Linked DNA regions of Notamacropus eugenii. The protein of the gene in region 1 interacts with the protein of each later gene in a pairwise test. Links are inferred from orthologs where the notes say so. Each region holds a gene or a part of one and is shown on either strand. Other genes may lie near its edges. The genes, in order: PSTPIP1, CD2, UBE2W and PTPN12.

Region 1 (7,590 bases):
CCAGCACCCTCACCCTCAGTTTTTCAGATGAGGAAACTGAGGTACAGTGCAGCCTTTTAGCAAGGACAAAGAACCAGTGTCTGAGGCAGGATTTGAATCCAGGTCCTTATAACAAGTCCAGTGCTCTCTCTACTATTCCATAATACCACTCAAACAATGATAAACATTCAAAGTGGGATGGGTTCTCTCCAGAGGGAGGGGGCTTCCCCTTCCCCCAGCAAAGGAGAGATGGCTGATTTGACATCAAGGGGAATTCTTGTTTAGGTCAAGATGGATGAATGGACTCCTGAGGCCTTGCCCAACTCTGAGATTCTGGGGCTCTATTTCTGGTGGACCACAGGTGCAGGGTGAGCCCATGGCATGAACCAGCATCCCCAAAGCTCACATCATCTCAGGCTATTGGATAATAATCCCACTTCCCCAGTCAGACCTCGCCTGCATAGTAGGCTCCATTCTGGGTGTCAAGTCAGCAAGGGTCAGAGGAGGACAAAAGGGGCAGTGAGAGAGGCCTGGAAGCCACGCCATACCAACACTGGGCAGAGGAAGTGGCACGTTCTGAACTGGAGAAGAGAGGGCTTAGGAGGGAGTAGTCATTGTCTTCAGAGAACTGAAGGGCCTCCATGTCAGAGACCAGATCTGCCTGACCCAGTCTGGGGGAAGGTATACAGAAGCAGTTGAACTACCTGCAGAGTGACCCCCTCAGATCTCCTCTGTTTTACCCTATCTATGGCTAGGTTGAATGTTGCTGTTGCCTTGTTGTCTTCTCCATTAGACTGTGAATTCCTTGAGGGCAGGGGCTCTCTTTGGTCTTTTTTTGTATCCCCAGCACTCTGCACAGTACCTCGTACATAGTAGGTGTCCAATAAATGTCTATTGACTGGCTGACACATAGTAGACATTTAAATGATTGATAAGTGACTGGTTGGTGCATAGTGGGTGCTTAAATGCTAATTGACTAGGTGGCGCATAGTAGGCACTTAAATGCTTGATATCGAATTGACTGGTACGTAATAAGAACTTCAATACTTATTGACTGGCTGGCACATAGGAGGCACTTAAATGCTTGATGAGTGACTGACTGGAACACAGTAGGCACTTAAATTTGTTGACTGTATGGCACATAATAGGCAATAAATACTTGTGGACTTGAAGTACAAGGGAAAACTTCTTGATGATGACAGGTCTCCCCAAAATAGAACATGCCATCTCATAAGTAATGAACTCCCCAACATTGCTGGAGGTCTTCTGGCAGAGGCTAGATACTCCCCTGCCTAGGATGCCACAGAGGTGATTCCCATTCAGGCTCCAGATGGACCAGAGGACCTGGCAATGCCTATCTTGGGGGAAAAGGTGTCCTGTCCTCAGCTCCTACAATGCAGTGCAAAGTCAACTGGATTTCAAATCAGAGGCCAAGGTTACACTTTAAACTCTCAGCACTCAGTCTGTGCAGCACTTCACTTTTCTGTGTCTTGGTTGTCTTATCTGTAAAATGAGCAGGCTAGACAGATTGCCTCGGGTCCCCTTCCAGCTCCCAACCTATGAACCGATGACACACATATTGATGTAAAATGTATCACACAGAATCTGATGGTTTGCGTGGCCCTCTACTCATATCATCTCATCTGAGCCTTGAAACAAACCTATGGTGTCATTCAGCCAACCAGCATTATTAAGTGCCTACTGTGCGCCAAGCACCGTGCTAAGCATTATGAGGTAAATGCTCTTATCCCATTGAAAGAGCTGAGGAAACAGGCTCAGAGAGATTGTCACAACTCAGGCCACCAAACTGACGAGCATCGAACTCAGGTCATCCTGACCCCAAAGCCAAAACACTACAGACAGTGGCTCTCCTGTAAAATAAGGATGATTACCAAGGTCCCTTCCACCTTTTGATTCTATGATCCTCACCCTCACCTGTGGAACGAGCCACACACTAATCTTCAGTCAGACCAAAGGCTGAGACTTCGAGTCAGAAAGACCTGAGCTCAAATCCAGCCTCAGACACTTCCCAGCTGTGTGACCCTGGACAAGTCACTGAACCTTGGTTTGCCTCCATTTCCTCAACTATAAAACGGGGGTACTAATAGCACCTCCCTCCAAAGGCTCTTGTGGTAGGTGCTTAATTTTGCTTATTTCCTTCCTTCCTATTGGGCAAAAACCCTGATAATTTCTCTGAGCACAAGTGGCTCTCTGACCTTTCCTACAACATGTATCACATTTGAACCAGAAGCTGCCTGGCAGGCAGGACATCTTCCTCCATATATGGGTCACAGCCCACGAGAAGCCAAGGCCTGTCAGTTGCCAGGGGGCTTTCTCCTCTCAGTACCTGGCCCAAAGAGCCCAGAGGGAATCTAGTGTCCTGGAGAATCTGTTCCACCAAGGGGAGGAGGGAACACTGGTGGGGCGGGTCTGAGAGAGAAAGAGAGAGAGAGAGAGAGAGAGAGAGAGAGAGAGAGAAAGTCCCATGCCACCTGGATGCCCTGGATGCAGGCCAGGAGCAAGCTGAAGACTAAGGTAGGGAACAGAAAATAGAACCAAGCGTTTGACATTTAAGGGGAAAAAATGGCCAGTCCAGACTTTCATACATCCTCAGCCCTCTCTTCACCAAGAGGGATAAACAGAACTCTCACTGTGGCAGAAGCAAGAGGAAGCTGGGGGGAGGGGAAGGTCACTTCCAAGGGGGCCCTTTTCCTTCATTTTCTTCACTTAACAAACGTCAACCAAACACAGCGACATCTATTCAGCTGGAAAACTTGGGGAGGTAGAGGGGAGGTGACAGCCAGACCGTCTGGGGGAAGAGAAAGCCGCTCACTCACCCAAAAAGCATCTTTGAACTGCAGCTGGGTCATGGTGCAGCCTGGTTCTAGCCCAGGTCTCTCTGGAGCCGGCACAGCAGCCTGAAGAGGTCCCAGTCGGGCCTCTGACTCACCCCACTAGCCAAGGGGGGAAGAGATTCACCCCTCCAGTCACTTGAGGTGTTTCTGTCTGCTTCTCTCTCTTTCTCTCTCTCTCTCTCTCTCTCTCTCTCTCTCTGAGCTGTTGATGGAAACCCAATGAGGACTGAAGTTTAAAAAAAGGGGGCTGAACCTGTTTTGATTTTTTTTTTTTTTTTTGGTGAGAAGTCCAGAAGCCACTGAAATAAGGAAGTAGAAGCTGCTCCGTGATGTAAGCCCTGGGCCTGCCCTTGGCTGGACCTGCAGAAGAGCTCCCAGTACCTACAGAATCTCTTTTCAAAGTGATGGTCTCTCAAGCCCAGCCCAGAGGGCAGCCTTCTTCCCTTCAAAGGGAGGGCCAACAGTCAGAAACAGAAAGCAGAAAAGAAGACAGGAACCGGCAGGAAGGGTGTCCTCCCTCCCTCCCCCTGCCGCCAGCCCTAGCCCCCAGGCCTGGGCCTCTGCAGGAACAGTGCTGTCATGACATCTTGACACCATGCCTTCTTTTGCAATGGTGAGCATCCCCACACAGGAAATGTGGCTTCTCAGATGCCCTATGCAAGTAAGTTTCCTTCGAGGGCCCCCAACTGAATCAAGGAAATCATTGTGTTCAACCGCTGTCTCTGCCTTTCTCCACTTGGCTTCAGGGAGGTCCTGGGGCTGAAGGGGCAGACCAGGCCTCTCTTGAGGGCTGCTAGCATCTTCAGTGCATCTCTCACCCACGGACAGCAGCGGGGGCAGAAACAGCCCATCTTGGGGATTCCTTGTGGGGTCACGAAGGAGAAATGGCTCCCATGGAGGAAGGGAAGGCATTTGAGAGAGAGGGGATCGATCACAGGATCACAAGTCTGGGAGGTGTCATTTCCAGGCAGAAGACATATGGTCACCCCTCTCGTTTTATAGACAGGACACTGAGGCCTACAGAGAGGGGAAATAATTTGCCTGAGGCAACACAACTGGTAAACCCAAACCCAGGAATTAGACCCAAACAAGAGCACCAATAACTAGCATTTACACAAAGTTTTAAGGTTTACAAAGCACTTTACCAACATTATGTCATTTTTATCCTTACAACAACCACCCTGGGAAGTAGGTGCCATTATTATTTATTGTTATTCCCATTTTACAGATGAGGAAACTGAGGCACAGAGAAGTTAAGTGATTTACCCAGAATCACACCACTACTAAGTAATTAAGTCTGGATTTGAACTCAGGTCTTCCCCAACTTCAGACTTTCATACTTGTATCCACTGCCCCACCTCAGTGACTCTCAAATACTGCAAAGCCTGTGACCTCTGACCCAGACCATACTGCTTTTCTGAACCTTCAGATTAAAAGCCCTTGGACATCCTGACTTGTCCCTCCCCAGTAAAGCATGACCTCGGAGTCTCACAATATAAACCAGGTTTATACTTCCACTCTCTCCCAAGTAGAAGGTGGAGTGGGGATCCTCAAGGCTGACTAGAGGAGAAAGTGAGATTGGTGACTCTGCATAGCCCTGCCTCACTTAAATCCAGTCCACTTGCATGTCATGGCATCACCTCTGCAATGTCATGGTCATCTTCGAGAACGAAGGACAAACTGCAGCAACTGGGGAGCAACTTCTACTCTTGAACAGAATAACATGACCAGACCCACACTTTAGGAAAATCCCTTTGGCAGCTGATCAGAAGATGGAAGTGGAGCATATTGGAGGCTTGAGGCAGGAAACCAACCAGGTTATTCCAATAGTCCAGAGGAGAGGTGATAAGGGCCTTCACCAGGGTGGTGGCTGTGGGGGTGGAGAGAAGGGGATATTCTGCAGGTGAATGTCAGGGGTGAGTGAGGGGCAAAGCTGGGCAGCCAGAAAGATGCATGTGTTGTTAGAAGCCCTAGGGACGTCTGGAAGAAAAGTGGGTTGGGAGGAAAGATAACAGACTGAGATCTGGTCTCTGGGCTCACTGGTCCTGCGTGACTCATTCTATCCTCGGCTTTCTAAAGGGGCCTGGTCAAGGGCCCCTTGCTCCCTAGCCACCATAAAGAGTGAAGATCCAGCACAATCAACCCCACTGGAGCCACAAGGTCATGGGGGTATGCTGAGGGTTGGGGAAGCAGCTGCTCTGAAGTGATAGTCTCTGAGGGCCACCGCTTTCCCCACCCCCTACCCCCCCGCCCCCCCGCCCCACAGCATGGTCCGAGGTGGGGACATAGCCTGAGAGAGACAAGGCCCAGAATTGGGAGGATACAACAGAAGATATCTTCCCACCATCTGACTGGGGTCGAGCTACAGCTTCTCAGGGGCCCCCACTTTGGAGACCACTTGTAGAGGGAGATTCCAGTGAAGATATTCTCTCTGTTCATGAGCGTATAACTGCTGAGGACCTACAGCCAACATGGGTCAGATGCAGGATTTGAGCCCAGGCCTTCTGAGCTTCAAAGTCAGCCTTCTGTCCCCTGTGCAGCCTTGCCTTTCTATTGAGAGAGGTTATAAACCTTTATAGCCAGTGCTCTTCCTGCCATTCCGCAGACAAGATCATAGCCTTCGAGCCTCCTCAGACTGGGGTCTTTGACACCAAATTCATGTCTACTACTATACCCCACAGTGTGTTCCCAGACATCCAGACTACCCATGGAGCATGGGCACAGGGCATAGGTCTGGCAGCAGATCAGCAGGGAGCCCCTACTGTCCTTCTCCTTTTGTTCCTCCCTCCTGTGACGGTACCATGGTCACCCACCTTTTTTATGTTTCTCCCCCTTTACCTCAGCCCCTCGAATCCCTGATTTCCTTCAAGATACGATCCAAGTGCCACTTTCTCCCTCACCCTGTTCCTGACCCACAGCCCAGTCTCCCCTATTAGAGCGCCAGGCCTAAAGTCAGGAAGACTCATCTTGAATTCAAATCTAGACTCTGACACTTACGGTATGACCCTGGGCAAGTCATTTAACCCTGTCTGCCTCAGTTCCTTCATCTGCAAAATGGGAATCATGACAGCAGCTACCTCCCAGGGTTGTTGTGAGAGTCAAAGAAGATCATGATTGTAAAGTGCTTAGCACAGTACCTGACACATAGTAAGTTCCATATCAGTATTAATTGTGATTATTATCACAAGATGGAGAATCAGGAGAGCAGACAGCAACTTGGACTCCTCAAGTCCAAGGAAGGAACTCAAAAACATCTGGAGAAAAGTGGCAGCAGGGAGTACTGGCGGTTCTCCCTGGATATTTAAGGGAGTCAGAAAGGGGGAGGAGGCTGTTACATCTTGTCCGGTTTGTAAGTGCTGATGAGAAAAGAATTTGGTGAGAGTACAGTCAGGGGGAAAATGGTGTATTGGAAAAAGTGCTGGACTTAGCATGAAAAAGACTTGGATCTGAGATAAGGTTCTGGCATCTATTAGAGGTGAGCGTTTGGCCAAATCATTTTTGCTCCTCTAGCCATAGCATTAACTAGAGGGGGGTGGTCAGGGCTTTGTCTCAGGGCACCTAATACAAAAGGTGTTGACATCCTTGGGCAGCATAGAAACAATAAAGTACTGTGCCCAGCACAGTAAGAAAATTTCTTTAAAATAGGAAACTACCAGATGGCAAGCTGGAGCAATCTCCTCTGTTACCGTGCTGACACACTCCCAGGAATGATCTCATGATGGGGTCCTGAAGAAATCTGTCTCCCCTCTCCAAGGAATGATGTCTTCCTCTCCCCCTCAAATGAGTACATCTCATGTACCTCTTATTCCTGATGCAGAAATTCCTATTATGGCTCGCTCTCTGTCTCTGTCTCTGTCTCTGTCTCTGTCTCTGTCTCTGTCTCTCTTTCTCTTTCTCTTTCTCTTTCTCTGTCTCTGTCTCTGTCTCTGTCTCTGTCTCTGTCTCTCTCTCTCTCTCTCTCTCTCTCTCTCTCTCTCTCTCTGTCTCTCTCTCTCCCTCCCTCCCTCTCTTCCTCCCTCTCTCTCTTTCTTTCCTTACCCCCCTCTTTTTCTTTCCCCCCCAATGAAGGATTTAGATTAGATAACCTCAAAGGTCCTTTCCAGCTCTAATATTCTGTGATTTTGGAAGTGTGAGGGAGGGGCCAGCTGAACGTAGTCCTTGAGAATAAGGACATTTTTATTACTTTATTTAATCCACTTGCACACAGTAGGTGTTTAATGAATGTTTGTTGAATTGGAACTCAAAGGGGTGAGGCAGCTCCAGCAACCACAGTGCTTGGTTGTGGGACTTCTTCCTTTGCATCATCACTAGGGTGGATGTGGGCATTTGTAGTTCTCTGGTCAAGAGCTTGTCTCATGCTATCCCAGAGCTTATATGTGGAGAGAAATAGAATTCAGTAAGTGGTAATGTAAGTAGAACTTGAGAAGACAGAGATGATCAAAATGATAGAGAAAGCGATGGAGATGATAGAGAGATAGAAACTGAAATAGAGATGGAGAGTTGATATGGAGATAGAAACAGAGAAGTGAGACAGATACATGTATGTGTGTTGATAGGTAGGTGGATGGGTAAATACATAGATGAGATAGAGAGATAAATGATAGCTGGATTAATGGGTGGATAGATAGATGATATATAGATAGTTAGGCAAGTAGATGAGTGGATAGGTTGGTAGGTAGGTAAACAAATAAATGGTCAGGCAGACAGATACATAAAAAGATAAACAGACAAACACATAAATAGACGGATAGATAAA
Region 2 (7,776 bases), on another chromosome or scaffold:
TTAATTTCATATAACAAATAATTTAAAAATATTACAATTATTTATGTACACAGCGCCTGGCACATAGTAAGTGCTTAATAAGGGCTTGTTGAATAGAACAAGTACTTTTAAAAGCACAATAAATATGCAAAATATTAACACCAAAATATTAACACCATTAAAATGTTTAAAAATATGCTTCAGTTCTATTTTATGGTTAATTAAGAGGGACAGGGGAGAAAAGTAAAGAAGGGTACATAATAGGACTGGCAATGATAGAAAAAGAGAAAAATGTAGGAGCAACGTAGAGAGAGTTACAGAGGTACATAATTTAATTCAATTCAACAAAAATTTGGCTACCTATATTATACAAGGTCTTTTGGGGGGATTTGTTGTTCAGTCGTGTCCATCTCTTTGTGACTCCATTTGGGGTTTTCTTGGCAGAGATACTGGAGTGGTTTGCCATTTCCTTCTCCAGTTCATTTTATAGATGAGGAATCTGAAGCAAACAGGGTTAAGTGATTTGCTGAGGATCACACAGCTGTGCTCACTTAGCCTGGTGTCTAAGGCCTTGATTCCTATTCCAATCTTCTTTCCACTGAGAAGAGCAGTATATGAAGACTTTTAGGGGCTGAATCCTTGCACTTACTCTGATTCAAGCCTTGGTTGCTCACTAACACTTCTCTAGCCAATCTGTTGCCAAGTCTTGTTTCTTTTTTCATAACTTCTCTCGCATCCATTCCTCCTCCCATTCACTCACCATCACCCTAGCCATCATTCCTTCTCACCCGACCTGTCTCAATGGCCTTCCATCTGTTTGCCTCAAGCTTCTCCATTTGGATCTGTCCTCCAAAGAACTGCCAAAAGCTTCTCTTTAAGAGCAGTTCAGATTGTGTTATTCCTTTGTTCTATAAACTTCAGTAGTTCCCTGTTACTTCAAAGATCAAAAATAAATTCCTCTATTTGACATTTCAATATGTTTATAACCTGACCCTTCTTACATTCTTGGTCTTTTCCTGCCATACTCTTCTTGGACTTGGTCCAGGCATGGTGGCTTACTCACCATTCCAAGAATTGACATTCAGTTTCCTGTTACTGTGCCTTCTCTTTATTGTATTTCTCTGTTGTTTTTCTCTATATTTCAGGTCCCTGGGGTCTGAAATACACTGTCCAATCACCTCTGGTTCTTATAACCCATGATTTCCTTCAAGACTCATCTCAAGCATTACTTTCCATAGGAAACCTTTCCTCATCCTTCCAATGGCTAGCGTACTTTCCCCAAAATAGCTTGTATTCATTTTGTATCATGTTGTTGTTGTTTAGTCATTTCAATTGTATCTGACTCTTTTGTGACCCTATTTGGGGTTTTCTTGGCCAAGATCCTAGAGGGGTTTGCCATTTCCTTCTTCAGCAAATTTTGCAGATGAGGAAACTGAAGCAAACGAGGTTAAGTGACTTGCCCAGGATCATACAGCTGGTGTGTCTGGATTTGAACTCAGTTCTTCCTGACTTCAGGCCTTGTACTCTATCCACTGTGCTGCCTAGCTGTCCCCCAGGAGTGTGTGTGTATGTTTGTGTGCATGTGTGTGAATACACATATGTATATATGTAAATATATGTGTGTACATACATAAATTATATGCATCCCTACCCACCTATGAACATGAATATTAAGTGTGTAATAAAGATGTGTATTAAAAAAAAAAGATGTGTATTGATTGACCCTGGTTGGCCTTCCTAAATTTCCCCCTAAATGTCTTCCTTTCTCAAAGGTACCAAAGAAAAGACGATCTGGAGGCCACTGAATGGGTCAGCAGCAGCAAGAGTATGTCTGCCCATGTTAGGATTCTTATTTTGATATCTCCTAGCCTTCTTACACAGAGATGAAGATGTTTCAAATGTTAAGTAGGGCAGAAGCTTTTTCTTTTTAGTTGAGAAGATCAGGTGAACTAAATCACAGAATTATTAAATCTTAGACTGGAAAGGAACCTTGATGATTAAGTCCATCCCCTATTTTACAAGAGAAGGAAATTGAGCTAAAGAGAGGAAAAGGATCACTGGATCATAAATTTTGAGATGGAAGAGACCTCAGAAGCCATGTGGTCAAAACTGTTCATTTTAAATATGAGTATGACAAAGGCTAAGGTAGGTTACGTGGTTTGCCCAAGGTCTCACAGAGGAGATTTGAAGCCAGGTCCTCTAAAATGTTCAAGTTGACCCAGCCGGGGCAGTTCCTGCTACACCATCTGCGATCAACCCTGAGTTTTGCTTCTATTTTCATTTTTTCTCCCGTTAAAAGAGATGTTCTATGGGTATCAGTTCCCTTATAACTACAAAACACATTTTGAAATTTCAAAAGAATGAACTCTCCCCAATGGACTGATGATTCACGGTGCTTTAGAACAGGGCAGTTTGTTTGGACAATGCATGGACTCAAGGGCAACTCACCCTTGAAGCTCACTCACCTGGGCTGGATTTGATCTAGGTTCCCATTCTTCCACTTGCCCTTTTAGAACTTTCTGACTTAATCCTTGCTTTACCTAAGATAGGATAGGTTGAAGGAACTAGGACTGTTTAACTTGGAGAAGAGAAGGTTCAGTGGGGAACATGAATGCTAAGTATTTTCAGGTCTGTTAAGTGGAGGAGAGATCCAATTTGTTCTTTGGACAGGACCAGGAGAAATGGGTGGAAGTCATAAAGTAGCACATTTAGGTCTGATGTCAGGGAAGACCTCCTGAGAGAACTATCCAAAAGGAGAATGTACTGCCAGAAAGGGTGACTGCAGGAGTCTCTGTCATTAATGGTTTTCAAGGGCTGGATGGCACTTTGGGGGATTTTTATAGGAGAGTTTCTTTTGGGGGCCTGAGTCAGACTAAATGGTCACTGAGGACTACTCCAACTTTAAAATTCTGCGATTCTGTCAATTCTGGGTCCTTTCAATTGTTCACATAGCCAATGGTGCCATCAAAACACATTCCCACTTTACATCCCAGTGGATGTGAGGAGCACCATGTTTCATACTCAAGAGACAGTCCATAAATAATGGGGTAAATCAAAATGAAAATTTGGGGTCTAGCTTGTTATTTTAGTGGGGTAGATTTCTTGATGTTTGATTGCTTTCCAGGTAGATTAATTTCCTCCCTCCCCTATATTTTTTTTTGCCTTTAGTAAATGTAACATTTTACCAACCTTCCCCTTCCTCTGTTATCCGCTGGAGTTCAGTGGTCATACACAGACCTTGGCTTGAAGTTCCAAGTTTCTGCATCTCCAGATGCCAAGGCATTCCAGGTTCAGTGCTGCTTTTGGAATCAGAGGATTTGGGTTCAAATAATGACTTTGCTTCTTCGTACCTGTGTGGGTGACCTTGGATGAGTCCCCTCACCCCCTGGACCTCACCTCCCTTTTCTTTCCTTTTGAAAGGAGGGTATTGTATTAGGTGACCTTAAGCTCCCTTGCAACATTAAATCCATAATCCTTTGATCTTCTCTCTTTCTTTTTTTTTTTGACAGCAACAAAAAGAATCTTGACCTAATTCCTCCAAAAGCCCCATGATGCTCTCTGTCAGCACTGACCTTTCTTCCCTTGGACATCACATAACTTTTGCACCTCTCTTAGGAATTATCATTTATTATTTTGCATTATAGTTATTTGCATATGTGTCATATTTCTCCTACTTGAGTGTAATTATTCCATCTATACTGTGCAACTGTCCCCTCTGCTTAGCTCAGTACTCAGGATACAGGCCTAAATGTTTGCCAAATTGAAATGAAAGAAAGAATGCTGTAGGAACTAACCTGTAGGGGTTCTTAACCTGAGACCATTGTATTTGCTTTTTAAAATATTTTAATAACTGTATTTTCCTATATTCTTAGTAATTCTGTGTATTTTATTTTGTATATTTAAAAACATGACTGAAAAGAAGTCCATAGGCTTCCCAAGATTGTCAGCGGAATTCATGGCACAAAAAAGGTTAAGAACTTATGGTCTAAACCTTCGGTCAAAGGCTAGAATACAAACCCTTCCAGACACACTGGGTTGGGGTAGTGTGAGAGGGCAGGATGAGGAAGTGAGGAAGATGGTGTGGGAACAGTATATTGTAGTGGATAGAATATAGGAGCTGTAATTTGGAAGTGCTGAGTTCAAATCCCATCTCTGGCACTTCCATGAAGCAAGTCACTTAAACTCATTGACATTCAATCTCTTAATCTAGAAAATGGGGATAATAGCACCTGCTGCCCCCACCTCAGAAATGTTGCTGAACCTTATGCTGAGGAGTCCATAGGCTTTATCACACTACCAAAGAAGTCCATGGCCCAAAAAAAGTTTAAGAATCGCTTCTCTAAATACATATTTTAAGATAAGGTAACATTGCAAAGTACTTATGTGAAAAAATAAAGAATGACAAATAATTGGAGGGATTAATATAGTGCTTATGGGTGTGACAAATAACAAGAAAAAAAAGATATTGCCCAAGTTTAAAAAAATCTTACTGTATGGATCAAACAAAATCATGTGTAGAAAGCACTCTGCGAACTCTCCATGAATATTGGTTAGACCATTCACAAAAGCAAGAGGAGATCATTCCTCTATTATCAAAGGGTTTACGACTGGGCACTATTTATAGGTAAGAAGCCACAAAAACAAGAAAGTCTCTGGTGGGCGCCAGTAATGTAATTTCTAGCACTCAAGTAGTCTTAAAACAGATCAGATCTTGTGAGATCACAGTGCCCACTTTAGCTCCATTTCCTGCTTGTCTGTGTGAAAAAGGGGGAAGAAGCCGTAAAGGGGAGCAGGAGGGTAGAATGAACTTTGGAAGACCTTGAATACTCTAACTCCTCCCCATAATTCTGCTGTTTCCCTTCACTGAACATTTGAAGACAGTTTATGCTTAGAGAACTCTTTTTCTGTCCTTGTGCCTACAGCAAGCTTGGCATCCTTCCCCTGATCTCCACCCTTCCCATCCCCCTATCTCCACCCAGCCAAATTAGAATACTGTACCTTTAGTAGTTTGAACTCTTAAATACAAATGTAGGAGAAACAGAAAGACAAGCGGTTCTGCTGGAGAATTGCCACTTCTCACTTTGATGAATTTTGGGTAACCCAAGTTGGAGATACCTTCCAAAGATGAACTTCCAAAGTCACGTTTTAGTCATCTACCTGCTTCTTTTGTTCTTTTCCCCAAAAGGTAAGTGAACTGTTTGGGTCTCTGTTGGTTCCTCCATCTTCCTGAGATATTTAGAGAAGCTGCTTTTAAAAAAACCAAACTTCTGAGTGTAGAAATCTAAGGGGATTTGAAACAGTTTCTCTTCCTTGTGGGACTATCCCCTTGTACATTCTCTTGTCTTCTTTTTCCTTTTAAGAGCACTGGATTAGAAGTCAGGTAAGACCTACAGTGTAGACCCAGCTCAACCGCTTGTTCTTTAGCTCTGGGACCTTGGGGGGGACCCAATCTCTTCAATGGTTTCCTGATATCTGATGATTCTACAATGTCCTTGCTTTCTTTAACAGATGTCATGGCAGAAAACAATGATGTTTGGGGTGTACTAAATCAGTCCATCCTTTTGAACATCCCTGATCTCCCGAAGGACCAAGATAAACATGATATACGGTGGTATGAAGGATCGACTCTGATTGCAAAAGGAAATGTAAATATTCCCAAGGCTAACCATGAAAGTCACAACTATGAGATATTCCCAAATGGAACCTTGAAAATTAAAAAACTGCAGAAAACCTCTGAGCAAAACTACAAGGTGTCAGTGTATGATAAAAATGGCAGAAATGTGTTGGAGAAAGAATTGACTCTGCATGTGATAGGTGAGTATTCCTTTTCTCTGTCTCCTTCATTGGTGGTTGCCCATCAGGCAATCAACATTTCTATGGTCTTTTCCTGGCTAGGGATTTTAATAAAGGACTGGTTAGTGGAGAAACAAATGGGAAGCTGATAAGGTTTTGACTATGGATGGATGCTCCAGCTGAAATTTCATGTCATGTACTTCATGAGGAAGGTGTCTTCTGATGACCTGATTCCCCATGTGATCTCCCCCCACCCCAATTCTTGCCTCGTTCTGTTGTTTTTCCCATGTCCTCAGTAACCTAATCCCAGGCTTCTACATGAGGCAACTTGTTAGCTGCAGGAGGAAGATGACATGAAATGAAAAATGAATGGAATTCCCTAAATATGCCCAGACTTTATGATTTCATCGGCATAGGAAAGTGCTAGTGTGATGTACCCTGTGCCAATGAAGATTATGCACTCATCTACATTTAATCAAAATTGCTATAAGTGTCTTGTCCAGGGTTGCAAACTAAATATGAATCAGAGGCAAGCTTTTTTTTTGGTGAAGGGGAGGCAATTGGGGTTAAGTGACTTGCCAAAGGGTGACACAACCAGTAAGTGTCTGAGGCTAGTTTGAACTCAGGTCCTCATGACTCCAGATCTGGTCTCTATCCACTGCACCACCTAGCTCACCCAGATGTCAGACCTGAACACTAGTCTTCTCAACTCCAAAGCCAACCCTCTCAGTTATGATACAATATCTTCCCAAGGTCAAATAATCTCAATTAAAAGACCTTATAGTTCACTTAGCTTGATACCTTACCTGTGATATAGATTCCTTCTGTAACCTCACTAACATATGGTTATTGAACCACTTCTTACACACTACCAGGCATGGAAAATTCATTATTTCATGAAGCATCCTGTTGTATTTTCTTTCTAGGACTTCTTGCCCACCCTTTCCCTCCCCCTTCTCCTTAATAGTACAAGGTAACTTCTTTTTTTACATTTCCATTCTCAAAGCACCTTTGTCTTCCCCAGTAATCATAGGAAGCAATCTTAATTTCGAGCTAAGTAAAAATCTTACTGTAGGTATACATTCACATTCTAGTCACCTTCTCTACCTTTTATGCCTTGGGAAATACTTATTCCTAAATGGTCCCACTAGACTAGTAAGTTCTGTGAGGGAAAGACTGGTTTAACTAAATCTTTCATGTCCCACAGCACCTAGCCCAGTGTTCTCAAATTAAATTCAGCAAACCTTTATTAAACACACATTATGTACAAGGTACAGTGCTTGGCCAGGAGGCTATAAAGATAAAAACAAGTGATCCCTGTTCTCATGGAGTTTATATTCTATTGCAATGCAGTAGGCATTAAAATGTTTGTTGAATGTAATGGAACTACAGTGGCCTGTCACCCATAAGATTTTCACACCTGACCAGGGCCTGAGAGGCATATTCCCAATCCCTACTTTGCTTTGAGTCCATGTGGGCTACACAAACTAGAACCAATTTTCCATTCAGGGATGTTCTCAAAGTAAATGGAGTTTTATTTTTTTTTCTTTTCAAAGAGGCTGTTTCAAAGCCAGAAATGACATGGAACTGCACAGAGGGAAGTATAATTTGTGAGGTTCATAATGGGACTAATGCTGAGCTGATCTTGTTTGATAATGGGACACAGCCTCTAAAGATGGGGAACTTGAATAAAGAGGGCATGAGGCTCAAGTACACCTGGCCAAAGAACGACCCACTACCAAGGGAATTCAAATGTGTGCTGAAAAACCAAGCCAGTGAGGAGTGGATTGTGGACCAAACTCCCTGTACAGGTGTGTAGTTGGCAGCGGGTATGAATTAACCATGTTCATAACAACCATAATAACTGACATTTATATAGTTATAAATGTATATATATATATATATATGTATGCTTTTAAATGAGTAAAAACAATTTCTGTACTTTATCTGACTTGAGCCTTATAACAATTCTGTGAGAAAGATACTAGAGATATTATTATCTCC
Region 3 (7,602 bases), on another chromosome or scaffold:
CTAATAGTAAGAGAAATATAAAATTACAATAGCTGAAATTACCTAACACCTTGCAAAATTGCAAAAAGAAAAAAAAACAGTCAACATTAATGGGGCTGTGGGAAGGCATGAACATTAATATTCTGTTGATGAAGATATAAAGGGAAAGGAATAAGTATTTATATAAGTACCTACTGTGTGCCAGACACTGTGCTGCGCACTGGACAAACAGCTCATTTGATCCTCACAATATTTTTGTAAGGTAAGACCCTGTTATTATTCCCACTTTACAGCTGAAGAAACTGAGGCAAAGAGACATTAAGAGACTTGCCCAAGATCACATAGCTAATAAGTGTGTGAGATGGAATTTGAACTCAGGTCTTCATGACTCCAGATCCACAGCTCTTTCCACTGTACAAATTAGGTGCCTTATCCATCAAATGGTTTGATAGCTCTGGTTATCAATTTGGAATTCTGAAAGAAAAGGGAACTTAACTGTCCATATTCTTTGACCTAATGATCCAGCAAAACATTCATAGTAGCACTCGTTATAGTAGAAAAAAAAAGTAAACAATGATATAGATTCCATTGACTGGGAAACGGTTGGGAAAAAAAACCAATTATGCTGTATGAATATTATGCATCCGGAAAAAAGAGATTTATATGACCTTGGAGCACAAAATAAACAGAACCAAAGAGTAACATATCTCATGACTACAACTATAGAAATGAAAAGATCATTTAAAGGAAGTTGAATTGAGTACAGTTAACTGGAAAAAAAATGAAGGATCCAAAGAATATATAATGAAATATAGTTCCCTCCTCACAGAAGCAGGGAAATGATACTAGGCTAGAGTATTGTATTGTAAGATATAGTTATTGTATCAGATGTTATTTTCTAATTGTTTTAATTTGTTATAAGGGAGGGCCTCAATCTGAAAGGATTTCTATACTCTAATCATCCCATCTTCCCTTTTAAGAAATGACCAATGTAAAAGACAAAAAAACATGAATAAAATCATCTTCCAAAATAGTCTTGTAGACTTAAATTTCAAGGTTTTTCTATCATTCAAGAGACTTGACTTTTCTTTATGATCAAAAGCAAAGAAAGTGTTAAGGCTTGCACATCAGAGAGTGTATACCAACATTTTAGAATTTCAAATGCAGGGGATAACTTTAGTGTTAGAGATTCCAGAATAAAATTTCAAATATATTTCTAATTAACAAAAACAAAACCAGTTTTCTTCCCCAGTTAGCTAGTCTAAAGTCACTAAAAGCTTTAGGACAAAGAGTGATGCTTGGAACACAAAACATGCATACACATACACATATACATATACATACTGTGTGGACTACATTTTTCATACTGCCTCTGTCTGTCAAACTCTAAGTTGATAAAAATTGAGTTCTGTCCCAACTTGGTTTCTGCTCACAATTCAAATTTCCCTTCTCATTTTCAAAAAAAAAAAAAAACCAGTTATAATCTTGTCTTTCAGAACCTCAGATCTAATTTTACTCTTAATATTTTGCTGCAAGTCACTATCACTGTAATACACTCTACCAAATAATCCCATATGATAGTTTTTCCCCCACAATAAAGGTTATTTGAACATTTAGTTCAAATTCTATTTAACATAGGGTTTCTCCCTACATTTCTCCTTCTGAGTCTTAAATGATAGATGGACTTTCCATCGATCCTCCGTGATCAAACTCTCCTGAGTACTTAATACTCCGAATTTTTTCCACATATTGAACTGACACTTTCCCCTCAAATTAATTTAATTACATCTTTCCTTGTATTTCTTCAACAAAAATAAATATATAACCTTTTGTGTGTTGCATGAAAGAGTAGGGAAGGAAAGGCAAGAGAAAAAGCACAGAGAATAATAAAAGGAGAATGAGGTAAATGGGAACAAAGATGGTGTGTGCACAAAAGGGGAAGGATGCAGAAAAGGGAAGAGGAGAAAAGGAAGATCGTGTTGTCACAGCTTACAAAGAGAAAAAGCTGGGAGGAGTTTACATTTTTCAGAAGCCAAAAAACAAAAGAGCTATTTTTAACGGCGTGAAGCAAAATGAAGCAGTTTTGTTCCCTGAAGAGTTAAGTCCTTAAGCTCCAAAAATCCTGAGCTGACAGCTCACACCTCGGACTTAGTTTCTCTTCCAAGCAACTAACATTTTCGTAATTCTAGTCACCTTTGAATGAACACATGTGCCATCCATTTCAACGAACTAGAACACTGCCATCTGTCCAGGCAGTCTTCGGACGGTACAGTATCGATAAGGGTCTCTAACTCCTCATCGAAAACTCCAGTGGAAATGACATTAATAAACTCCCACTAAAAAGCGTTTCGCTAAAATGTTTGGAGAAAGGAAAGCAGAGGACGGTAAAACTGCGACCAAGGTTAAAAGTAGGGTACTTAGTTCTGGGGGCCGGGGGGATTACACATCGGGTGAGGAAGCAGCAGAGGAGCCGGTACGTGAAAGTTTCGGGGAGACCCAGACTGGAGCATTATTGGGTGAGACTTTAAACAGTGGGAGGATGTCCTACATAAGGTACGGGGCAGGGGAGAGCCAGAGGCGAAGGCTGCCGGTCAAGGGAGTGACTGTAGCTACAAGGAGCACTGGATTCAAGGGCGAAGGGGAAGGTATTTTACTCATAGAGGTGGGGAGCAGAGGCAGCGGGAGAAGAAGGGAAGGAAGGCGGCCAAAGGAAGAGCCTCGGAGGCCCGGCCGGAGCCGCCGTCCCCGGGGACCGACCTCGGGGTCTCTCGGTCTCTCCCACTTGACACAGATCCTCCCTCTCACTCCGGTCTGGACGCCGAGGCGGTCACGAAGCCCACGGGGAAAACAGCTGTTTCCTTTCGGGACAGGGAGAAGGGCAAGCAGGGGAACCTGGGCCGTGAAGGCAGAGGGGAGCGGCCGGGGGGCCACGGCTCGGGCCAACCCAGCCCTCCGCACCCTTCCCCCCACCATTCCCCCAACTTCTCCGGCTCCGGGGTCGGCTAGGGCGGGCCGGTGGTACCCCGCCTTCCCCGCGGCCGCCGGGGGCGAGGAGAGGCGGAGCCGGCCCGGCGCCGCAGACCCCGGCAGGCTCGCAGCCCTCCGCTCCCGCGGCCGCCGCCGCCGCCCTCAGCCAATCCCACAACCTCACCCCTCCTCAGCCGGGCGTTCGGATGCCGCAAACTCCTCTCACCTGCATGGACGCCATGATGGAACCATCCCCCCTGCCCGGCGCAGCCAGAGACGCAGGAGGAGGAGCCGCCGTGCTCGCGTCACGCCGCGGGATCCCAGGATCCGGGCTTGGGGGCGGGGGGTCGGAGACCGCAGGAGAAGGGAGAGCGAGATCCGGATTGGCCGCTGGGCCCACGAGCCGCGAGAGGGGGCGGGCCTAGGTGGGGGCGGGGCGGGAGCCCCGCAGGTGCTCACAGTTCCCTCTCCTCCTTCTCGGTCCTCTCCCCCCACCCCCCAGCCATCCCGGCCCAACGTCCGAGGCGGCCCCGCCCAGAAGCACCCGGGAAAGAATGAGGGAGGGGGAGGGGGAGGACAAGAGAAAGCGGGGGAAGGAGTTTAGTGCCAGGGCCCGGGAGGGCTCCGAGGCGAGATGCGGGGAGCCGGCTGGCCTCGGTCCGGGGATTAGCTCCTTCTGGTCCCCGCGTTCTGGACCATTCGTTTCCTCCTGACTTTCACAGTCTCGCGGCCCCCGCCCCCGGGACCCTGCCTTAGTGTGGAGCTAGCCCCGGAGGTCTCCACGTCCCCGCGGGGCGGTAGGACGAGGGGTAATCAGCGGAACCGGTCCGCCGAGATGAGCTGGGATGTGCCCGAGGACGTGCCTGCAGAGGCGGTGGGTCCGGCCCGCCCCGCGCTCGGGGAGCGCTGCTGCCGGGGCGGCCGCGGGGTCAAGCGCCGGGAGGACGGAGAAACGCCGACAAGCCCCCGGAGCCGCCCCGACCCGCCGGGCGCGGGCCTCGGAATCCTGCCGCTCCCCGGGCGGAGGCATTCCGAACTCACTGCACATCCGTGCTGGTGACTGTCCTCCGAAGTGTAGACTTTGCAAGTGCTGGCACCATTGCTGCCTTTAAATAGAGGACAGAGTCGGCGCTGGAGAGAGGTGGGGAGCGGTGTGTGAATGACTCTGAATATGTGGATCTATTTTGTTTTTTACTGTAATTTCTGTTACACATACGAACCTGTCTGAACTTCGGACGTCTGGGGATGGGGGTGCGGGAGGCGTACAATCCACAAGATCTCCCTGAACATTCGAGATCTGGAGGATGAAAAATGCTCTGTAAGAAGCAAACCTTCACCCAGGAAAAAACTTCAGACTGTCATCCGTGAAAGCAGCACGTGTATGTGAACCACCTAGGTAATGCTGTGCAAAGCAGACGCGAGTACTTCAGATTTAAAAGTATTCTAAAGTTAGAACGGTGTCTTTTACTTCTTATATTTGTCTTTATTTTGAAAAAAAATAAAAAACTTCCCATGAAATTTCAAAAGTGACTTTGAAGAAGAAGGAGTTGGAAAATATACTAATTATTCTTCATTAACGTATAGGATTTGTGATTGTTCATATTCAAGGGGGACATCTCCAAATCTTATGAAACTACATGGTTTTGATGTCAAAATATATATTCTCAGCTACAGCAGCGCTTGCTTTTACTTGCTAACTTCCCTGACCGCGTAGATTAGAGAAACTGGTTGGTTTTCTCTGTCGGAGAAAAATTAGTCAATTTTATCAACAATAGTCCGGAAGGCATGTAGTCTAAGCTGTGAAAAGACAGTTTTGTCCGGTCAAAATTACTACACTGAGAGGGAAGAAATATTCAATATTAAAAAAAAGAAGAAGAAGCTTAACAATTAGAGCTGAACTGTCAAACATGAATACCTAGACAGATCTAGCACTTTTTAAGGCAAAAATACTTGATGATCCTATGTTCACAAAAAAGGGTAATGCCTTTGTTAATGCCTTGACCCCAAACCTTATGGATGTCAATAAGGAAGAGACATTTTTCAAGAATCTGGACAAAATCATAATATCACTATCAAATCTGAAGTTGTTGGTCATATGAATTTCAATGTATTTGTTAGCAGGGATGCTAAATGCGATGGAGAAGTCATTGGAGAAATCAGAAAACTATAGAACCACAGAATTTTCTAGCTGGAAAGGTCCTTAGAGATAATTTAGTTAACTTATTTAATTCTTTAGGCCAACAAGGTGTCAGTAGTTAGAGTGCAGGGCCTGGAATCAGAAAGACTCTTCTTTTTGAGTTCAAATCTGGCCTTCACACACTTACTAGTTGTGTAACTATGGGCAAGTCTCTTAAACCTGTTTGCCTCAGTTTCCTCATCCATAAAATGATTTGAAGAAGGAAATGACAAACCACTCCAGTATCTCAGCCAAGAAAATCCCAAATGGGGTCACAAAGAGTCAAACATAACTGAAAACAACTCAACATTTAATTCTTTAGATGAACAGCATAGCAAGTACCAGCCACATGTTTCATTTATGACTTGAAATCTAAGGAACTGACAAGACCAAATGATCTAGTTAGATATTCAAAATACATTCAGAGTCATATATTATATATATGTATATATGTCATATAATATATGGTGCAGTGGATAGCGCACCAGTGCAGGAATCAGGAGGACCAGAGTTCAAATCTCACCTGAGACACTTGATACTCACTAACTGTGTGACCTTGGGCAAATCACTTAACCCCAATTGCCTCATCCTGGGTCATCTCCAGTCATCCTGATGAATATCTGGTCACTGGATTCAGATGACTGTAGAGGACAGGTGAGGCTGGTGACCTCACAGCCCTCCCTCACTCCAAACAAAGTCAAGTGCAAGTCATGTCATTATTTCTCTGATGGCCTAGTCTTCTTTGGCAATGAAGGATGAACACACACACAATATAAAGCCCCAGAATATTGATATAGGTAGCAAAGAATATTATGCCTTGGATTAACTAATGAAAAAAGCATTTGTTAAGTTAAATATTGTCATACTTTCTGCCAAGCACTGTGCTGAATGCTTGGGCTACAAATAGAAAAGAAAGACAGTCCCTGCTTTCAAAGAACTCACATTCTAACTGGGGAGACAATGTATAGAATTTACTTTCAGGACAGATGATCTTTAGAGTACAGTGGCAAAGCAGTCAGTAATACATCTTTAGTGTCATTTCCATTGATAAACCAAATCCATTTCTGATTTTGACCCTTTTTTTTCTGTTGCCAAGGATTTTAGTGGAGAGAACTTTCTTTTCTGGGGTTTCAGGAGTTTGGAAACAAGTAGACCACTCAATTTCCAAATTAAGCAATAGAATCCTACTGGATTAACTAATTGACTAAGTGCACTAAGGCCTCCTTTTGGTGATGTGAAGAACCCCTTATACAAGTACTAAAAATAGAATATAGTTTGTTGGACCTGAAATATTCATTCAGGAGAGGGCTGTTGTTGTTACCAACCTAAGAGCATCCCCATGGGGAATTTGAGGTACTTGGAGAATTGTGTTCATCAACTCATTGTGGATCTTCATTAAGTATCTGCACTTGAGACCTGTGTGCACCTGTCCCAGAACAAAGGAAAACAGAGAAAGCTGAAGTGTCTTATCCAAGGACACACAATGGTATTCGGTGGAATTTGAATTAGAACCCAGCTCTCTTTCATTCAACATTCATTCAGGAAACTTTCATTCAAAACAGACCTCCACCTTAACGATATCTCATAGTGCCAAGTGACAGCAAATAATTAATTACAAGCATCATCCTCGGCCAAACGCTATTGTACTCAAAAAACTTTGGTGGTTCTCTATTGTCTCTAAGTAAAATACAAACTCCTCTGATATTTTAAGCTCTTCATAATCATATTCTCAGAATATCTCTTATATGGGTCTCTACTCACACAGCCCCCATCTTGGTTCAGGCCCTCATCACCTTTCCCCTAGAATTCCTACAGTCTTTCCCTGCTCTAATTTATTCTTTGCTCAGGATTCAGTCATTTTTCTAAGGCATCCATCATGCCACACTCCATACCTAATAAACTCCAGTAGCTCCCTATTAGTTCTAGAATCAATTATAAAATCTCTTTGGCATTTAAAGAAAGTCCTTCATAACCCCTTCTTACCTTTTCATTCTTCTTATACTTTACTCCTCTCCATGTTAGTTTGACCCAGAAATACTAGCCTATTTACTATTTCTGGCACATGACCTTTCATATCCAGCTTCTGTTGGCGTGCTCTGGCCATACTCTCACCGCCAGTCCCATTCCCCCAGTGCTGCTTTTCCCGATCTCCTTCTTTTCAAATTCCTGGCTTCTTTTAAGACTCAGATCAAATACTACTTCTGCAAGAGGCCTTCCCCAGTATTTCCCTCCCTGACATTACCTACAAATCACAAACTCCTGAAGACAGGAACTGCTTTTGCCTTTCTCTCAATCCCCAATAGTTAGTCAGTGCCTGACATTGTAAGTTCTTAACAAATGCTTATGGACCTATTTTTTAAGACTTATTACTGCTATTCTCCTTATTGTGTTCCAACTGCTTTCATTCCACAATCATTTATTAAGATCCTGTAAGAGAAAAGTTTTAATCAACTATTAAAGGATGTAAGATGCAGCCACTG
Region 4 (7,914 bases), on another chromosome or scaffold:
TGATGAGACAGACCTTAGTCATCAAACCTTGGAACTGGAGTCACCAAGCAATGCCTTATAATTATGGAAGCAAACTGAGATTGACATTTTTTTATTTCTCTCTCCCTAAGCAGATATACTCAGAAATGAAATAGTTTAATTAATAATTTATCCCTGGAAGGCTTGTGTCTAAAACGTAGAGTACACAAGTTTTCTTCCCCAGGGCAATGAGAGAAAAGCGGCCTCTACACAACTCAAAGGAATCTAAGAAAAGTCCCAAAAGGTATTTCACATTTCCCTAAAGATATACTAGTATTGGGAACCTGAACCTGAGGTAATGATCATAAAGCTACAGGTACCGAATCATTAAATTATGTAATTCTTCTCCTTCATAAGAAAAAGTCTCAAGTATCTAAGTGAAGTAGATAAAAGTATCCAAGAAGAGCTAGAATAACAAGAAAACAAATGAAGAGATGAGCAAAGATTACAACTCCTCTATTTCTTTCATTCCTTAGCACTGAAAAAAATTATTTCTGGAAGTTTATATTTTAAAGTAAACATCTTCATCCATCATGGTGTAGTAAAAAAAAATTTAAAATAGGACCTCCCCAAATCCCAGTTACTTTGAAGAATGACTCCATTTCAAATTATCTCAACATACTGAAAATTCTTATCAAAAAAAACCAAAACAAAATAACTTATTTACATTTTCCTCCTAAATGTAGCTCTATTTCTCAAAAAGCACAGAAAAAGAATGAATGAAACACACAAATCAAAGAAAAATAGCCATTTCCGGCTGATAGGGTTAAACCACTTGCCATACACTCTTTTCTTTTTTTCTCCTGGGTAAAATTTTATCACTGCAGCCCAAATATACATTTTCGAAATAAGCTTCAAATTATGGTCATCAACCTATCTTTGTTCCTTATCTTATGTTACAGGTTTCAGGAAAAAAAACACGAAAAATCACAAGGCTCTGTAAAGTCATCACAATTCATTTTAAAATCTACCATCTAAATTCCCTACATGTGAGTAGGGAATTCTGCAGTAAAGCTTTAACCTCAAGTCAGTGGGTACTTTGCTTTAGCCTAAGGATAACCTGAACCTTAAAAGAAATCCATCTGCTCTCTTCGTTTGGATGTTTTCTCCCCAGCCCTCTCTGTGGATGCCAGCACTACATCTTTTTCATTTTCTAAATATAGTTATGAGACTATGCTCCCTCAGGAGCAAAATCCTTCCCAAGCAGATCTCAGCTTTTAACTCCCTCTCCCCAAACCAGCCCTGGAAGGAGTAAGCACTTCCCAAAGTCCCGCTTCCTCCTCCATTCCTCAGACCTCCAGGGTTTCCAACGCCCCAGAGTCTTGCGCAATATCCGTAGGAGCAACAGCAGCCACCGGCCACCTCCCACCGCCTCCTCCCAGGACGGGAAATAATTCTTGAGGGGTCATTGTCCAGAAAAAAAGGGGGGGGGGGGTGAATAGAAAATGGAAGGATGTTGCCTTTATGAGCTCCCCTTCTCCAGATATCTAACCTCACTGAACTCATCTACCTGCAGACAACTTTACGTCCTTCCCATCTGTCCAGCCCCGACACTGAATGGGAGGGGGGCACAAGGGGGAGGAAGAGTGAGGAAGGTTATCTCCCAGTTCAGGCCTCCAGCCCAGAGAACCATCGCCTCCGCCCCATCCCAACTATTGTTCCCAAGTTCCCCACCCCCACCCCGGATAGGAAGTGATATTCACATCCCCTCCATTGCCTTGCACAAAATCCCCTAGGAAAAGGCTTCCTTCAGCATTATTTCCCTGCTGTCCTCCACCTCACACACACACGACCCCAATAACGTGGGCTCCAGGCAGGAAGCTATGGACATCTTGGTACACTGAACACGTTCTCTCCAGGAGATGCCTCCTGCAAACCTGGGGGAGAACCTGCGATACCCAGGCGCGGTCCAGTCCTCCCCCAATCCAACCACCCAGAGCTCCAGACACCCCATGGAGTTGCTTCATGCGCCCTACACACCGATTGCACCCTTCTCCCTTACCCCCCCCCCCCCCGGAAACGCCAGGACTGGGAAGAAAACGCCAGCCCCAAGCCCCCGCTGCCCTGACCCTTTCCAGACACTCAAAGCAAAAAGCTGGGCGGACCGAGGAGGGGCTTCAGGGCAGCGAGAAGGTGCCAGAGCCACTTACCCCAGCGCCCCGCCAGAGCCTGGGGGGTGTCCGGGGCGGGGGCAGCGGGGGAACAATAGGTGGTCTCCGAGACCGACGAAGGGAGCCGCCGCCTCACAGCCACTCCCGCTCCGCGGGACCCGAGCTCGGGGCGGCGGCTGCCCCACCCCCCGCGGCCGCAGGAGCCCCCGCGCCCGGCAGGTGGGCGTCCGCCCCGTCGCCCCCGGCTCTCGCTGACACCCCCTCTTCAGGCACGGGCACCCACACAAAGCGACCCCGGGCGGGGCAGAACTCACCATGAAGTCCCGGGCGAAGTTGTCCTCCCCATTGTGGTCCGGGCTCTTCATGGCCTGGACCCTCTGGATGAATTTCCTCAGGATCTCCACTTGTTCCATCGCCTCGCGTCCTCCCGGCGGCTGCGGCCGCTGGCCCCCCCGCCGCCGCCCGCCCGCCCGGCGCAAAGCGCGCTCCGTCTTCCCCAGGTCGCTCCCCCTTCCCTTCCCCCCCTCCCTGCCCGACCACCGCCAGCCCCGGCGGCCCCTCCCGCCCGCCTGCTCTCCCGCCAAGCCCGGCCGGCAGCGGCAGCGGCAGGGGCGGCACCGGCGTCCGGCGAACACCCGCACAACTTCCAGGAGCCGTACGAAGGGAGAAGCGCCGCGTCTCAGCACCAGCCCCAGCCCCCAGCTGGTTCCATCCTCCTTCCCCGCCCTCCGCCTCCGCCTCCGCCTCCGCCTCCGCCAGAGACGCCGCCGCCGCCGCCGCCGCCTTCGGGACGCGACTCCCCTAGGTTGCCCAGCCCCCTCCGCCCGGCACAGTCGACCTCTTTCCCCAGGCGCGCGTCCCCGCCGCCGCCCCGACGCGACGCGCGGCCCCGCGACCTCAGCCCCGCCCCAAACGGAACTCTCTGTCAATCCTGCCGGCCCTTCTCTTCTCTTCCAATCTCCGATGTAAAGCACGGCCCCGGTCCCATCCTTCGGGTTCCAACTGGCTGGAAGACCCGTCGCTTGACTGGTGGAGCGATCACCGCTCTCCTTCCGGGGCCAGGGGTTCCGCCCCTCCACTATCCTGGTGGTGAATTGGCTATCCGGAGAATTTGCTCTCCAGGATATTGTAGGTCCCCCGGAGAAGAGTTCTTGTAATCTCATAGGGCTTTGCCTTTACAGGACCCAGTAGGACTTCTATTGGATCGAGAGTATGTCGCTCCCCATACTGAGGAAAAATACATTCCCGAAAATGTTTAAGTTCTTCCTTCCTTTCCCCTTCCCCATCCCTAAGCTAGAACTACAATTCCCAGCATGCAACGTTGATGGCGGGAGGAGGGGCCGAAGTGTAAGAGGATAGTGTCTGTGAGGCGGCCTGGGAAGAGTGGGGCTTACTGGGAATTGTGGTTCTTGTGGCTATGTCAAAAACTGCTTTAGGTGTTCAGTAGTCGTTGAATCTTTCTCTGTTTCCTAGTGCACGGATGAAGCTGACGGGTTCACTAGATGGGGGTGAAGCTCTTTGGGAGGAGCTTACTTGCTCCCCTCAACCGCCCCATGAGGAAGATGCTCATACTGCTTGGGGAACGTGCAGACTGAACAAGCACAGCACCGCTCGGCACTGTAGAATGCAGAAGTTTAAGCTCTCGAAAGGATCTCCGACATCAACTACTGTTAACTCCCTTGTGAAGAATTTTAAAGTTGACAAAAGGCTTTCCTCATCAGAGCTCCGGGAGAAGGTTGCAAGCATTCTTATTCCCATTTTAGAGATAAGGAAACGAGAGCGAGAGAGGTCTAGAGACTTGCCCAAGGTCACTAATCTCATCCTCCAATGCCCCAGTTTTTAAATTCTTTTCAACATCTCACTCAGATCACTAAACCTGAAGAAAACAGGCATGGTGGATGTTATAATGGATAGAGAGCTGGCCTGCTGTCCTCTGCGTCTTGGTTGCCCAGACTCTGTAAGGCTGTAAGATGCAGAAAGGTTGGTTGGAAGAGGGGGTTCATCCCCAGGAGCTCCCTAAACAGATGACGTCATAGATCCAGTCCTAAAAAGATGTTTTACACACGTAACAAAATGTATACGTTATACATGTGTATATAATTCACAGTCGGGGGGGGGGGGGCAGGGACCTCAGCACCCCCCTAGTCCAACCCATATATGAAGGAAATCTAAACTGTAACATCCATGCAGTGGGCATCTGCTTGAAGAGAAGCCCAGCACTTCTACGAGAGCCCTAACAAGACAGCTGGCATGATTAGCAAGTCTTTTCCGATGCCAAGCCTGAACTGACCTCTTTGCAGTTGCCACCCTTTCCTGGTTCTGTCCAGCGAAACCAGAGAGAACAATCTACCTTCTCTATGTGACAGGGCTTCAGATATCTGGAGGTAGCCATTCTGTTCCCCACTCCCCAGCCTCAGATCATCTCTTCTCCAACCTTTGCTGCAACTAACCCTCATAGGTCACAGACTCAAGGCCACTGACCGTCTTGTTTGCCCTGCTCTCCACACTCTCCGCATGCAGAATCAAGCACAGTTCTCCCCAGAAGGTCTGAGGAGGGCAGGGTACGCAGGTCATCGCCCTGCTGCTGAAACCTCCGGGTCTCTTAGTGGAGCTCGAGACTGCATTAGGCTTCTTGTGGCTGCCGCAGCATACTGTTGATTCGTATCGAGCTGGTAGTTAACTAAGACCTCCAGATCTTTTGAAGAACAACTATTGTTTAACTGTGCCCTCCCCTCCTCACTCCCCATCTTGGATTTGAAAGTGGATTTTTTTCCCCCAAAGTGTGTTTCTCACTATTAAATTTTATCTTGTTAGATTCAACCTGCTGCTCTGACCTGTGGTATCAAATTGAAATAGAAATGGATCCCTGGGGGCCATATATTGACTTAAAAACCACAAATTAATATTATCTATGTTGTCTTTTTATATATTTTGTTAAACATTTCCCATTTACATCTTAATCTAGCTCAACCACGCTTGGAGTCCCACAGGCAACCAGTTTGACACCTCTACTCTAGCCTGTCGAGATGCAAGATTCTTTTAAATGTTATCCCTACGTATATTTTCATTGTCCTGTTTTCAGTTATATTTAATCTTATAAAATAAACTTGTGAGAAAAATGCAAAGCAATTGGATCTGGAAATTAAGAAGATACTGGTGACTGTGATGAGTGCAATCAATGTAGTGGTGGGATCAGAAACTGAATTTCAGTGGGATAAGTTAAGAATGAATGAGGAAAGCAGGTATAGACAATTTGTTTGAGAAAATTATCAATTAAAGTAAAAAGAAAAGTAGCATATAGGCTGGAGGGAGGGGAATCTAGTCAAAATTTTATTTTGTTTTATTTTTCCCAAGATAGGGAGGCCGGTACATATTTGAAGAACATATTTGAAAGATCCAGTGGACAGAGAGGATTTGAAGATGTTAGTTAATGATTCTTCAAGGATTTAATATCCCAACTCTTTGCTTTTCTTCCTCTCTTCTCTGGTCTCACTTTTTAATCGTTTCATTGCTCATTAGCCCCACTATTTGGAATAATTTGTCAAGAAGCAGAAAAGAACATGAATGCAAATCAGTGAGTCTTGCTACTTTTCCAGAGCTCTCACTAAAGTTTAGGTGAGAAAAAGAATAAATCTAATTGTCCAAAAGAATTTTCAGATTCATTTGCTTCTTTCAAGTTCCTAGTACCCCTTTCAACACATTAGCACTGATAATAATGCTTTACACTATATAATAATTTTAATTTTCACATCACTTTCATAGCTATTATCTCAGAAAAGTTTGCATTTTGTGATTTTCATAGCATTATAACTCAATTTGTGAATTACTTTTATTGTTTCTTATGCATCGGGAAAGCAATTTGATAGAATTTTCCTCATCGTACAGGTGAAGAAACTAAAGAATGGGGATTTAAAATGACTTACACCATGTTAGAAAGTAAATGGCAGAAGCAAGGCCAGAAACCCACAGGGCCTGAGTTTCCAGCTTGTTGCATAAACCACTGAGTCATTATGCTTTTGTACTGGAATCATGTGTGTGAAACTAGCAAAGGAGATTAAATCTACTCCTGAGTATCTCCCTAGTAACACCTTTAAAGGAGAATAGATAGATAGATAGATAGATTAGACGATAGATGAATAAAAGATAGAAAATTGGATTAGATAATAGGTGAATAATAGATTAGATTACAGAAGAATAAAAGATAAATTAGATATATCAATAAATTTTATAGATATAGATAGGTGAAAGTTCATTCTGAACCTCTGATACAGGAAACCGCCTGATCCTCTCTAAATTCTAATCGATAAACATAAAGGAGAAATAGAAAGGGCTCTTTTTGCCTATGCCACCCTGAATCTTTCTCCCCCACCTCCTTTATGAACTGGTCTCAAAGAAGTATTGGTTTTAAAAAAGGAATGTTATTTTTTTCTTAGAAATTTTACATTAATGCATGTAGAAAACATTGTATTTTCTATTGTGGGATTTCTAAAAAGGAGATTGTAGAGACAGCAAAGTCAAGTCATGCCATTCCCTTACTCTTGTCATTTAAGAAATAGGAAAGAGATTTATGATTTTATTGAAATACAGAATTCTCTGATGAGAAAATTCTCAATATAGATATCTCTCCACTAAAGCATAGTGCCATACTGCCTCTTGTATAGCATGTAAAACCTTTTAAGACCTAGTTACAGATTACATTTCTAGGTTTACTACACATTACCCACTCTTCATTCGAGCTAAAACTGTTTATTTTCTCTTCCTAGAGCTTGGTATTACAGTTCCTGCCTCCCTGCTTTTGCATGCCTGAAATGAGCTTCTAGTCTAGGCCTTTTACAGTTCTAGCTTTATTCAGGGCTCATTTTATGTGCCCCTTCCCTTGGAAAGTCTTCTCTTATCTTTACACCCTCCTGGATCTCCTGTTTACAGTAAACTCCTAGAGGACAAGGACTATTTTTCATTTTGTCCTTGTATCCCAGCACTTAGGATGATGCCTTATGCATTTTTGTTGTTGTTGAGTCAATCCAGTCCTGTCCTGTTCTTCATGATCCCATTTGGGGTTTTCTTGGCAAAGACACTAGAGTGAGGCAAACAGGGTTAAGTGACTTGTTCAGAGTCACACAGCTACCGAGTGTCTTGAGGCCAAACTTGAACTCAGGAAGAAGAGTTTTCTTGACTCTAGGTCCTTCACTCTATCCACTGTGCCACGGTACTGGAGAAATGTGTGTTTCATTGGGGAAAACAACCTTTATCCAAAGGACTTATCTAAATGCCAGTGGAGAAAAAGAGGAACATTACTTCTCTCCTTGATCATCTAGGATAGTAATACCATAATCTTAGACATATGGCACATTCAAATGGAGAGTTCAAATAGGGAGAGAGAGAATAAATTTCCTGTTATTACTTGCCTAGTGCTTGATATTTCAAAGTATTTTTTGAATGCTTTGTATAATTTATCCTCAGAGCTTCGTGTCTGTAATTTAAAAATCCTGGGTTACTTTTCTATCTGTACAATATGAAGCGCAAAACATGATTTGTTTAAAGTCACCCAGATAGTTAGTGACAGCATTGAATGAAACAAATACTCTTGCACTGAGGGCGCTCCAAAGTATGTTATGCAATAAATGCTAACTGCAGCTGCAATTAATACTAATTACAAGACAATGCAATATTGTAGGGCCATGCCTCTGGCTTTTCTTATTGTCTTTCATATTTTCCATACTATTTTTCTTCATTAGAGACTGAGAGGCAGCCTAGCTAGTGCTTAGATGATCAAATCTTGCCCTTG

Evidence for each region.
Region 2: the proteins of PSTPIP1 (region 1) and CD2 interact in a two-hybrid assay, tested with the Homo sapiens proteins (2 studies listed by BioGRID and IntAct). The link is inferred for Notamacropus eugenii from reciprocal best matches to the Homo sapiens genes PSTPIP1 and CD2.
Region 3: the proteins of PSTPIP1 (region 1) and UBE2W interact in binary tests that used the Homo sapiens proteins (3 or more experiments, as listed by UniProt). The two-hybrid records come from large-scale screens. The link is inferred for Notamacropus eugenii from reciprocal best matches to the Homo sapiens genes PSTPIP1 and UBE2W.
Region 4: the proteins of PSTPIP1 (region 1) and PTPN12 interact in binary tests that used the Homo sapiens proteins (3 or more experiments, as listed by UniProt). The link is inferred for Notamacropus eugenii from reciprocal best matches to the Homo sapiens genes PSTPIP1 and PTPN12.

The regions. Positions count from the first base shown.
Region 1 is NC_092872.1:256,747,263-256,754,852, reverse strand, and holds the start of PSTPIP1 (proline-serine-threonine phosphatase-interacting protein 1), read right to left. Parts: upstream 3,016-7,590; 5' UTR 2,850-3,015; coding exon 2,817-2,849; intron 1-2,816. UniProt on the Homo sapiens protein: Involved in regulation of the actin cytoskeleton. May regulate WAS actin-bundling activity. Bridges the interaction between ABL1 and PTPN18 leading to ABL1 dephosphorylation.
Region 2 is NC_092873.1:296,546,380-296,554,155, forward strand, and holds the start of CD2 (T-cell surface antigen CD2), read left to right. Parts: upstream 1-4,770; 5' UTR 4,771-5,103; coding exon 5,104-5,164; intron 5,165-5,487; coding exon 5,488-5,793; intron 5,794-7,328; coding exon 7,329-7,583; intron 7,584-7,776. UniProt on the Homo sapiens protein: CD2 interacts with lymphocyte function-associated antigen CD58 (LFA-3) and CD48/BCM1 to mediate adhesion between T-cells and other cell types. CD2 is implicated in the triggering of T-cells, the cytoplasmic domain is implicated in the signaling function.
Region 3 is NC_092875.1:294,725,286-294,732,887, forward strand, and holds the start of UBE2W (ubiquitin-conjugating enzyme E2 W), read right to left. Parts: upstream 3,013-7,602; 5' UTR 2,953-3,012; coding exon 2,737-2,952; intron 1-2,736. UniProt on the Homo sapiens protein: Accepts ubiquitin from the E1 complex and catalyzes its covalent attachment to other proteins.
Region 4 is NC_092874.1:153,756,059-153,763,972, reverse strand, and holds the start of PTPN12 (tyrosine-protein phosphatase non-receptor type 12), read right to left. Parts: upstream 3,006-7,914; 5' UTR 2,543-3,005; coding exon 2,444-2,542; intron 1-2,443. UniProt on the Homo sapiens protein: Dephosphorylates a range of proteins, and thereby regulates cellular signaling cascades. Dephosphorylates cellular tyrosine kinases, such as ERBB2 and PTK2B/PYK2, and thereby regulates signaling via ERBB2 and PTK2B/PYK2.